Linked DNA regions of Nothobranchius furzeri. The protein of the gene in region 1 interacts with the protein of each later gene in a pairwise test. Links are inferred from orthologs where the notes say so. Each region holds a gene or a part of one and is shown in the gene's direction. Other genes may lie near its edges. The genes, in order: vimentin and crmp1.

Region 1 (4,388 bases):
TGCCGTGCCTATGTACCTATTCCTGGAGACCCTGTTTGGATCTGAGATGTCAAAGAGTCATTGATCCCACTGCACATGGCTCGTAGGAAAACTTCGATGCGACCAAGTCAGTCCTAGGATGCCTCCGGGTCGTGAAAAACAGGGGGACTCGTTTGCGTCTAGAACGGTTGGACTCTTAAGGAGTCGGAACTGTCAGCGTTGTTCTGCAGGAACCGTGTGCTGTGTCAGCTGCAGCGTGCAACAGGTGTGACAGCTTGTCAAGAGATGCGGTGGTTAAAGAGTTTTCCTCTGGTGGCCAGTCCGGAGTTCGGCTCAAAACTAATTGAATTACTCAGCAAGTGATTCTGTTTTAACAATTGCCATATTATGATTACATGGCCAACCAGAATTTGACATGTAAAGGGGTTTTACCAACCAACCTCAGATACACACCTCCCTCAGATACAGTAGCTCTGATTTGTGGATCAGAAAGCAATGTGTCATGAGATTACTTTAGTCATATGTATGAGTGTGTGCTTGTCAAGTCACGTACGTTGATTAAATATATGGGTCATATATTTCATTTCATCCTTATTAATCTAAGCACAGATTAAACAAAACATTTCATTTAACCACATTGTTTATTTCATTATGTGATTAATTAACTCATATGAGCTGAAAGTGTTCACTTTTATTCAGAGGCAGGAGGAATCCTGTAGAAGCGATAAGAGAAAGCTTAAGGCCTTGAAACGGGAACAGTTTTGTTTACAATATGTTATCCATGTGTTCAAAGCTGCAGAGGCCTGAACTTCAGCTGATAAAATAGCAGAATTCAGCAGATTAAAGACACTAGATGTAGACTCATGTCTCCATCTGACTGGATACTGAAGAGGTCAAACTGTGGATGAAAAACTGACCATTTCTGGACGTTACAATGGAAAACAAAAGATTTTTGGATATAGAAAATGCGACTGATTTTTAGCGGTCTCTTGTTTACTGTGGCAATGTGGGTTCTGGTATCAAGGGACTTGGCTTGGGGATGATAGCCAAGGGAGGGGTGAGCACTCCGTGACCATGTTTGTGTTTAAATTCTAGTTTGTTTTAGAGATTTGTTATTGCAGGTTTAAAGTGACAGAGCTCTCAAATGGCTCATTCTGGAAGGTACTGAAAATGTAAAGAATAATAGTAATCACTCCTTGTGAGAGAACATTATAAACCTGTTTTGTATTGACCACAGATCTATTATAACTATAAGTTAAAAAGTAATAATATGTCCCTTTATTGAGTTATTTTCCACTTATAAGGTATTTTTCAAAACTTTATTTAAATGTATTGAAATGTTAACCTCACCCACAAAACGCCTGTTAACTTTAATAGATTTTATTTAGAAGCTTAGACTCACCACTTCATATATCAAGTAATTGAGAAAAAGGGAGATTTTTTTTCCATCCAAAAGAGCTTTGTGACCTTTCTCAGTTTTGTTGTGCACCTTAGAAGGCATCTGGCCTCAGAAAGCCAAGTGTGTGTTCTGATCTAGGATTGGAGTCTGGGGGTGTCAGTCAAGTTCTACTTGGCGCTTTTTGCAGGAGGAGGGGGCTATAAATAAGTTCTGGAGAGGGAAACGCCTTTCTAGGGCACCGCTGATGCTGCAGAGGTGAGGTGGACACTCTCAACAGAACCCAGTAAGATGTCCTACAGACCAGCTCCTCATTCTTCCTACAAAAAGATGTTCGGAGGGGACCGAGCCACGGCCCGGACCAGCTACTCCAGCCGCCAGTTCTCCAGCCCGCTGCGCTCCTCTCGGGTCTCCTACGGGCTCTCCTCCGCTCCGACCACCGTTTACGCAATGAAGACGCAGAGGCTCCGGAGCAGCGCGGCCATGCCACGGCTGGCCTCCGAGAACCTGGACTTCTCCCTGTCCGACGCCATCAACAGCGAGTTCATGACGAACCGCACCAACGAGAAGGCGCAGATGCAGTCGCTCAACGACCGCTTCGCCAACTACATCGAGAAGGTGCGCTTCTTGGAGCAGCAGAACAAGATCCTGCTGGCGGAGCTGGAGCAGCTGCGGGGCAAAGGCACGTCCCGGGTCGGGGATCTCTACGAGGACGAGATGCGGGAGCTGCGGCGTCAGGTGGACCAGCTCACCAACGAGAAGGCCCGGGTGGAGGTCCACCGGGACAATCTGGCGGATGACATAGAGAGGCTGAGAGAGAAGTAGGCGTGGCACATGTGGCCATGATTTCCTTATTGTTATTATTCATTTCTGCAGCTGTTCAGATGAGTAAGAAGTAAAATCAAAGAAGACAAAACTGAAAAGAAGAAGCATGGAAGAAAGCTCCTGCTTATGCTAAATATAAAATAACAGCTTTCTCTGTGTTCTCCCCTCCTGCAGGCTGCAGGATGAAATCTCCCAGAGGGAAGAGGCAGAGGCAAACATGCAAAGTTTTAGACAGGTATGAGATAGAATGATGACTTCAGCTAGCTAAAAAATGTTTCTGTTTTGTTGCAAAATTGCTCAGCTTTAATCAATCAATCAATCAATCAATTAATCAATCAATCAATCAATCAATCAATCAATCAATCAATCAATCAATCAATCAATCAATCAATCAATCAATCAATCTTTATTTATATAGCAACTGCCTTTGCAGGAGGCCAATACGCTGAGCATATAATACACTTAAAACATGAAGTGTAAAAGCAGCATAAAAGCATTAAACCAAGTCACATAAAAGCCAAAGGATACAAATTAGTCTTCAAATGACTCTTAAAATCCTGTAATGATGGTTTAATATCAAATGGAAGCTCATTCCAAAAGAAGGAACCAAGACCAAGAAAGCCCGAACTCCTCTAGATCTGTACCTAGTATTTGGGACTGTCATGTGAGGGAGGAGATGGCAGACAATGTGTGGTGGAGAGTTCAGGAGGCAGGAGAGCAGGCACAGATGAAATAAAAATGGATTTAATAGTAAACGGGAGCGACAGGACAAAACGAGCACATGCACATACAATGATCCGACGAAGACTGGTACAAGGAGGGAGATATAAATACACAGGGAAATCAGGAAGAGCAGAGTAATGAGGGACAGGTGAGAACAATAAGGACTAATCAGGGCAGGAGAAAGACACAGTCAGGAAGGCAGGGGCAGAACATGACAGGGACAGTCAGTAGCGTAGAATTTGTGATGGGGTGTCTTTTTATTAGTTCTGCCAAATATGGTGGAGCATCACCATAAAAAGACCAGAAGATATAGCAGAGAACTTTAAACTTTGCCCGAAAATCTACAGGGAGCCAATGTAATGAGGCCAGCACAGGAGTGATGTGTGCCGACTTCCCTGTCAGAAATCTGGCTACAGAGTTGTGAACCAACTGCCCCCAGCTTCTCATAACTTTGACCCAAAATCCCCAAATCGATGACGCAAACCTCCAACTGTGCAGTGGAGTGCATCCCTTTTCTCTTTTAGGTAATCTGTCTAGTTTTGGCTCATGAGCCACAGAGGCAGGAATGCACCGCTCTGATGACACAACAGCAGGTTCCAGACATGATTCCGAACAGTTAAAGAGTGCCCTGGCCTGGCTGGTACAAAAGGCCAAGTTTGCTCTGCTCGATTGGAGTCTGACTGGTCTGATGTGGTTATCAGAGCGAGAAGACGGGCCACCGCGTGATCCGGCTGTCTCGTTCACATAAGAATTTCTCTTGTTATGGTTCTGTTCCCTGTCACTGGTTTTCCAGTTGATAGGTCATGTGAATAGAGTTATATGGCGGTTACTGTACACAAATAGGTCAAAAACATCACTTTGGTGAATAACTTAAACACATAAATACACATTTTGTTGATTTTATGTTTTTTCGGTGCAGATTTGGGCTTAAATCAGGTTGTTGTATGGCAGGAAGGAATTGCATGAGTGGTCTGCCTCCGTGGCAAACAGACAACAATGTTTGGCCAGCAGCCGGCTCCTGCTCAGTCAGGCAGACAGTCACTCTTCCAGCCTTTGGGCATGTTTTGGAACCCCTGCTGAATGGTCCACATTGTTTGTGGCATTAACACATGGGCAAAGCAGCTTCTGTTGCTGATACCTCAATCAACGGCCTGCCAACGCCCCGATGAAGCTGTGCACTGGCACAACAACAGGTTTGTTTCATTATGGGTTCTGTCTTCCAAAACAAAAGCTTCGTGCTTAATTAAGTGGAGGAATGAAATAATGACTAAACATTCCATCACTGTTGGAATTTTTAATTTCATTCAGAGAAACTAGAAGGAAATTTCACAATAAACATAAATTTAGCTTATAAATGGGCTTAAGGACCTTTTTAATTATGTGGTTTGAATGAGACCCTTTACTGAATAAAAAAATTGGAAAATGGAGTCATTGATGTGTTTTTTAGAATAGTTTAATTTTTTAA
Region 2 (3,819 bases), on another chromosome or scaffold:
GCCGAGTCGTCAATGATGATCAGTCATTCTATGCAGATGTCTTCATCGAGGACGGCCTCATCATGTGCGTATCGTGATTATTATTTATGTCAAGATCAGGCCTCACTTTCAGCTCTTTCTTCTCACTGCATGTTTCCCCACCAGGCAGGTGGGGGAGAACCTGGTTGCTCCAGCTGGTGTCAAGGTGATCGAGGCCAACGGCCGCATGATAATTCCCGGGGGGATCGACGTTAACACATGCCTGATGAAGCCGTATCTCGACACGCAGCCTGTTGACGACTTCCTGCAGGGCACCAAGGCAGCTCTTGCTGGAGGCACCACCATGATCAGTGAGTGAAAACACCTGAAGCATCTGCAGCTCATTCCAGATGCAGCAATCATGCACACCACGGTTCCAAAACGTGGCTGAGTCGTTTCTCTTTTTTTGGACCTTTCAGTTGATCATGTGACCCCTCAGCCAGAGGGCAGCCTGCTGGAGGCGTTTGAGCGCTGGCAGGAGGCTGCAGATAAAAAGGCTTGCTGTGACTACTCTCTTCATGTAGACATCCCCAAGTGGAATGAAACCGTTAAAGATGAGCTGGAAATGCTGGTGCAGGATAAAGGTACGTATCTTTTTGTTTTTAGTGCTGTAACATTTCAGAAATGTGCGTTGGAGACCTATCTAGGGAACACAAGTGAGAGATTTAGACACTTTAGTGCTGAATCCTCTTACAGTCATGACTCAGAGGACATCTATTGTCACCATAATGCTGCTGCGGCAGCAGAGCACAACATTTGCATGTAATCTTTTTTAAAGTAAAGTAAACAAAACGAAGAAAATTACCAGACCAAGCTGCTGCTTGTGAGGCCTTTTTCTGCAGCTGGGCTGGGCTGTGCAACTTGGCTCAAGCGTCAGTGACAGACATGCACTAGACATTACCTTCCATTTAAACTGTCTCAGTGAGTCTTGCCTCTGACGGCACCCTATCATCATTTTCCCATTTTCAGGTGTCAACTCCTTCCAAGTGTTCATGGCCTACAATGACCTTTATCAGATGACAGACTCTGAGGTTGGCACTAGTATAAAAATCTCCCTCACATCACTGTTTTCCCCATGAATCATCCACTCTGTGGTCCTCTAACGCTACATCTTCTTCTACCGTTGCAGCTGTACGCGGCTCTCTCTTTCCTGAAGGAGCTGGGTGCCGTGGTGTTGGTTCACGCTGAAAACGGAGACCTGGTAGCAAAGGTAAGCTTTAAATCTCTCCTCAAGCTGCACAGCAGCTGAGAAATCTTCTCATTACACAACTCGCCATCTCTCAAATAGACCGACTGAAGATTAATGTTGCTGCCGCAGACCCAGAGCACATAACCGTGCACCTGTTTTATTAATGATGATGATGATGTGATGGTGATTAAGATGGAGAATGGTGAGGACAGAGGCAGCGGCGACAACAAGTGTCAGATCTGGTCATGGCAAAGACTGTTGAGATTAAAGGATATTAATATGTCAAAAATATAGATGAGTGTGAGAATAAATCAGGATAATTAATAATGATCTGAACACTGATGACTAATAATGAGTTAGTGGTGAAGTAGGGAGATGGAGATGGAAAAGCCCGGTTATCCAGTGGAGACGGTGCTCACTGGGCAGAAACATGTCACAAGTACAATCTTTCTTGACTGACACAATGTGAGATTTTCTGTTTGCCTTGAACAAATCACACATCTACAGTGGTTCCTAAAGCTGGGGTCAGGACTCATTACCTCGATAATATCGAGGTTATCCGAGGATCTCCAGAGTTTAAAGTAAACCCTGTTCAGCACCACTGTTGTAAAAGCTAAAAAAGAACAAAAAATTAGAGTACTTCCGTTTTTTGTTTGTGTGTGTGTGTGTGTGTGTGTGTGTGTGTGTGTGTGTGTGTGTGTGTGTGTGTGTGTGCGTGCGTGTGTGTGTGTGTGTGTGTGTGTGTGTGTGTGTGTGTGTGTGTGTGTGTGTGTGTGTGCGTGCGTGCGTGTGTGTGTGTGTGTGTCTGCTCTGTCTTCTCGATCCCCAGTGAGTCGTGGAGGATGGCTGCTTATACTGAGCCAGGATTCTCTGGAGGTTTCTTCCTGTTAAAAGGGAGTTTTCCTCTCCACTGTCGCTACATGCTTGCTTAGTATGAGGATTGCTGTATAGTCACTGACACTAGTCAGTGACTTGATGCAATTTGCTGGGTTCCTTATATAGGAAACATTATTTCTGATTGGCTTAATGAACTGACCTGAATTAGAATGTTTATTATGTGAAGTGCCTTGAGATGACTCTTGTCGTGATTTGGCGCTACATAAATAAACTTGAATTGAATTGAATTGAAAATTATAGGGCAGGACTTAGGGTCACATTGTCATTTTGTGGGTCAGAAACTGAAAACCACTGCACTACATCATGCTGTACGATGCTGAAAATGACTGTAGATTAATTCTAAAATGTTTGTTTTAGGAGCAGAGAAAAATCCTCGGAATGGGAATCACAGGCCCTGAAGGGCACCCTCTGAGTCACCCTGAAGAGGTGACTTTAATCACACTCCCCTCTGCAGCTTAATATCATAAAAATACAATTTTATTTTTAATGACCTTCTTGTTTTATTCCTTTTTTCACACAGCTGGAGGCTGAAGCGGTTTTCCGTGCCATCACTCTCGGAAACCGTGTCAACTGTCCTGTCTACATCACGAAGGTGATGAGCAAGAGTGCAGCCGACACCATCGCTCAGGCCCGGAGGAAAGGTGAACCCTGACCTCTTCTTCCACTTAACTTCATCGCTCTTATTTCTCAGTTATTTTCATCAGAATCTGTCCAACTGTCCCTCCACACAGGCTCTGTGGTTTTTGGGGAGCCAATCACAGCTAGCCTGGCCACGGACGGCTCTCACTATTGGAGCAAAAACTGGGCCAAGGCAGCAGCTTATGTGACCTCTCCACCTCTGAGTCCTGATCCCACAACCCTGGATCACCTTCACACGCTGCTGGCCTGGTAACGCTCGAGGTTTCTTCATGTTTCATAACAACGTACAAAAAAACAACTTCTTACACGGTACAGTAGAAGCATTTAAAACATAAATCACATTTTTAGATGAATTCTTTGTGAACACAACCCACAGCGCTTAATTGAACTTTAACCCCAGAACATACATAGTTATGAGGAAATTACCTAAGTGACAGGATAGGAGACACCAGCAGGGATCTGTTTACTTTTATACATACATTATATTCATACCACACACAGCAGCTAGTGTGTAGTGATGTGTCGGTCGTGAACGAACCGCCTCTAAGAGCCGGCTCTTTGAAGTGAACGACGGGAGCCGTCCCCTCCCCTCCCCCCTCCCCCCCTGCCTTGGTGAAAGCTACAGGCGATTGGTCAACATGTGTAACTGCGTGTCCAGACTGTCCACACACAGAGCAGTAGGGGCGGGGAAGAGGGAGGATCAGACTCAGACACACAGCAGAGCACACGTGGGAGGAGGGAGACGAGAGGGAATGAGGAGGAGGAAAAAGGCGAGCGAAAGGGAGGAGAGTGCGACGAAGACGGTGAGAAAATGAGCGCCAGCAGTCGGAAAGTGGAGATTTCTAGCATTATTTTGGTTATAAATGTACTCTACGCAACAGAAAATCTGAGGAGCCACTTGGGAGCCGAAAGAACCGGCTCTCTAAAAAGAGCCGGAATTCCCATCACTACTAGTGTGATGCAGAATAAAAATCTGATCAGTGAAAAGGACAAACGGAGGAAAAGTGAAAGTGGACGTTTGAAGGTAGTTTGACCTCTGCAGCGAAGGACAACACATCTGTTATGACCTCCCCTCC

Evidence for each region.
Region 2: the proteins of vimentin (region 1) and crmp1 interact in binary tests that used the Homo sapiens proteins (3 or more experiments, as listed by UniProt). The link is inferred for Nothobranchius furzeri from reciprocal best matches to the Homo sapiens genes VIM and CRMP1.

The regions. Positions count from the first base shown.
Region 1 is NC_091751.1:47,676,786-47,681,173, forward strand, and holds the start of vimentin, read left to right. Parts: upstream 1-1,518; 5' UTR 1,519-1,666; coding exon 1,667-2,196; intron 2,197-2,374; coding exon 2,375-2,435; intron 2,436-4,388. UniProt on the Homo sapiens protein: Vimentins are class-III intermediate filaments found in various non-epithelial cells, especially mesenchymal cells. Vimentin is attached to the nucleus, endoplasmic reticulum, and mitochondria, either laterally or terminally.
Region 2 is NC_091747.1:78,393,378-78,397,196, reverse strand, and holds part of crmp1 (dihydropyrimidinase-related protein 1), read left to right. Parts: coding exon 1-64; intron 65-144; coding exon 145-329; intron 330-437; coding exon 438-602; intron 603-987; coding exon 988-1,049; intron 1,050-1,147; coding exon 1,148-1,228; intron 1,229-2,461; coding exon 2,462-2,530; intron 2,531-2,624; coding exon 2,625-2,745; intron 2,746-2,835; coding exon 2,836-2,992; intron 2,993-3,819.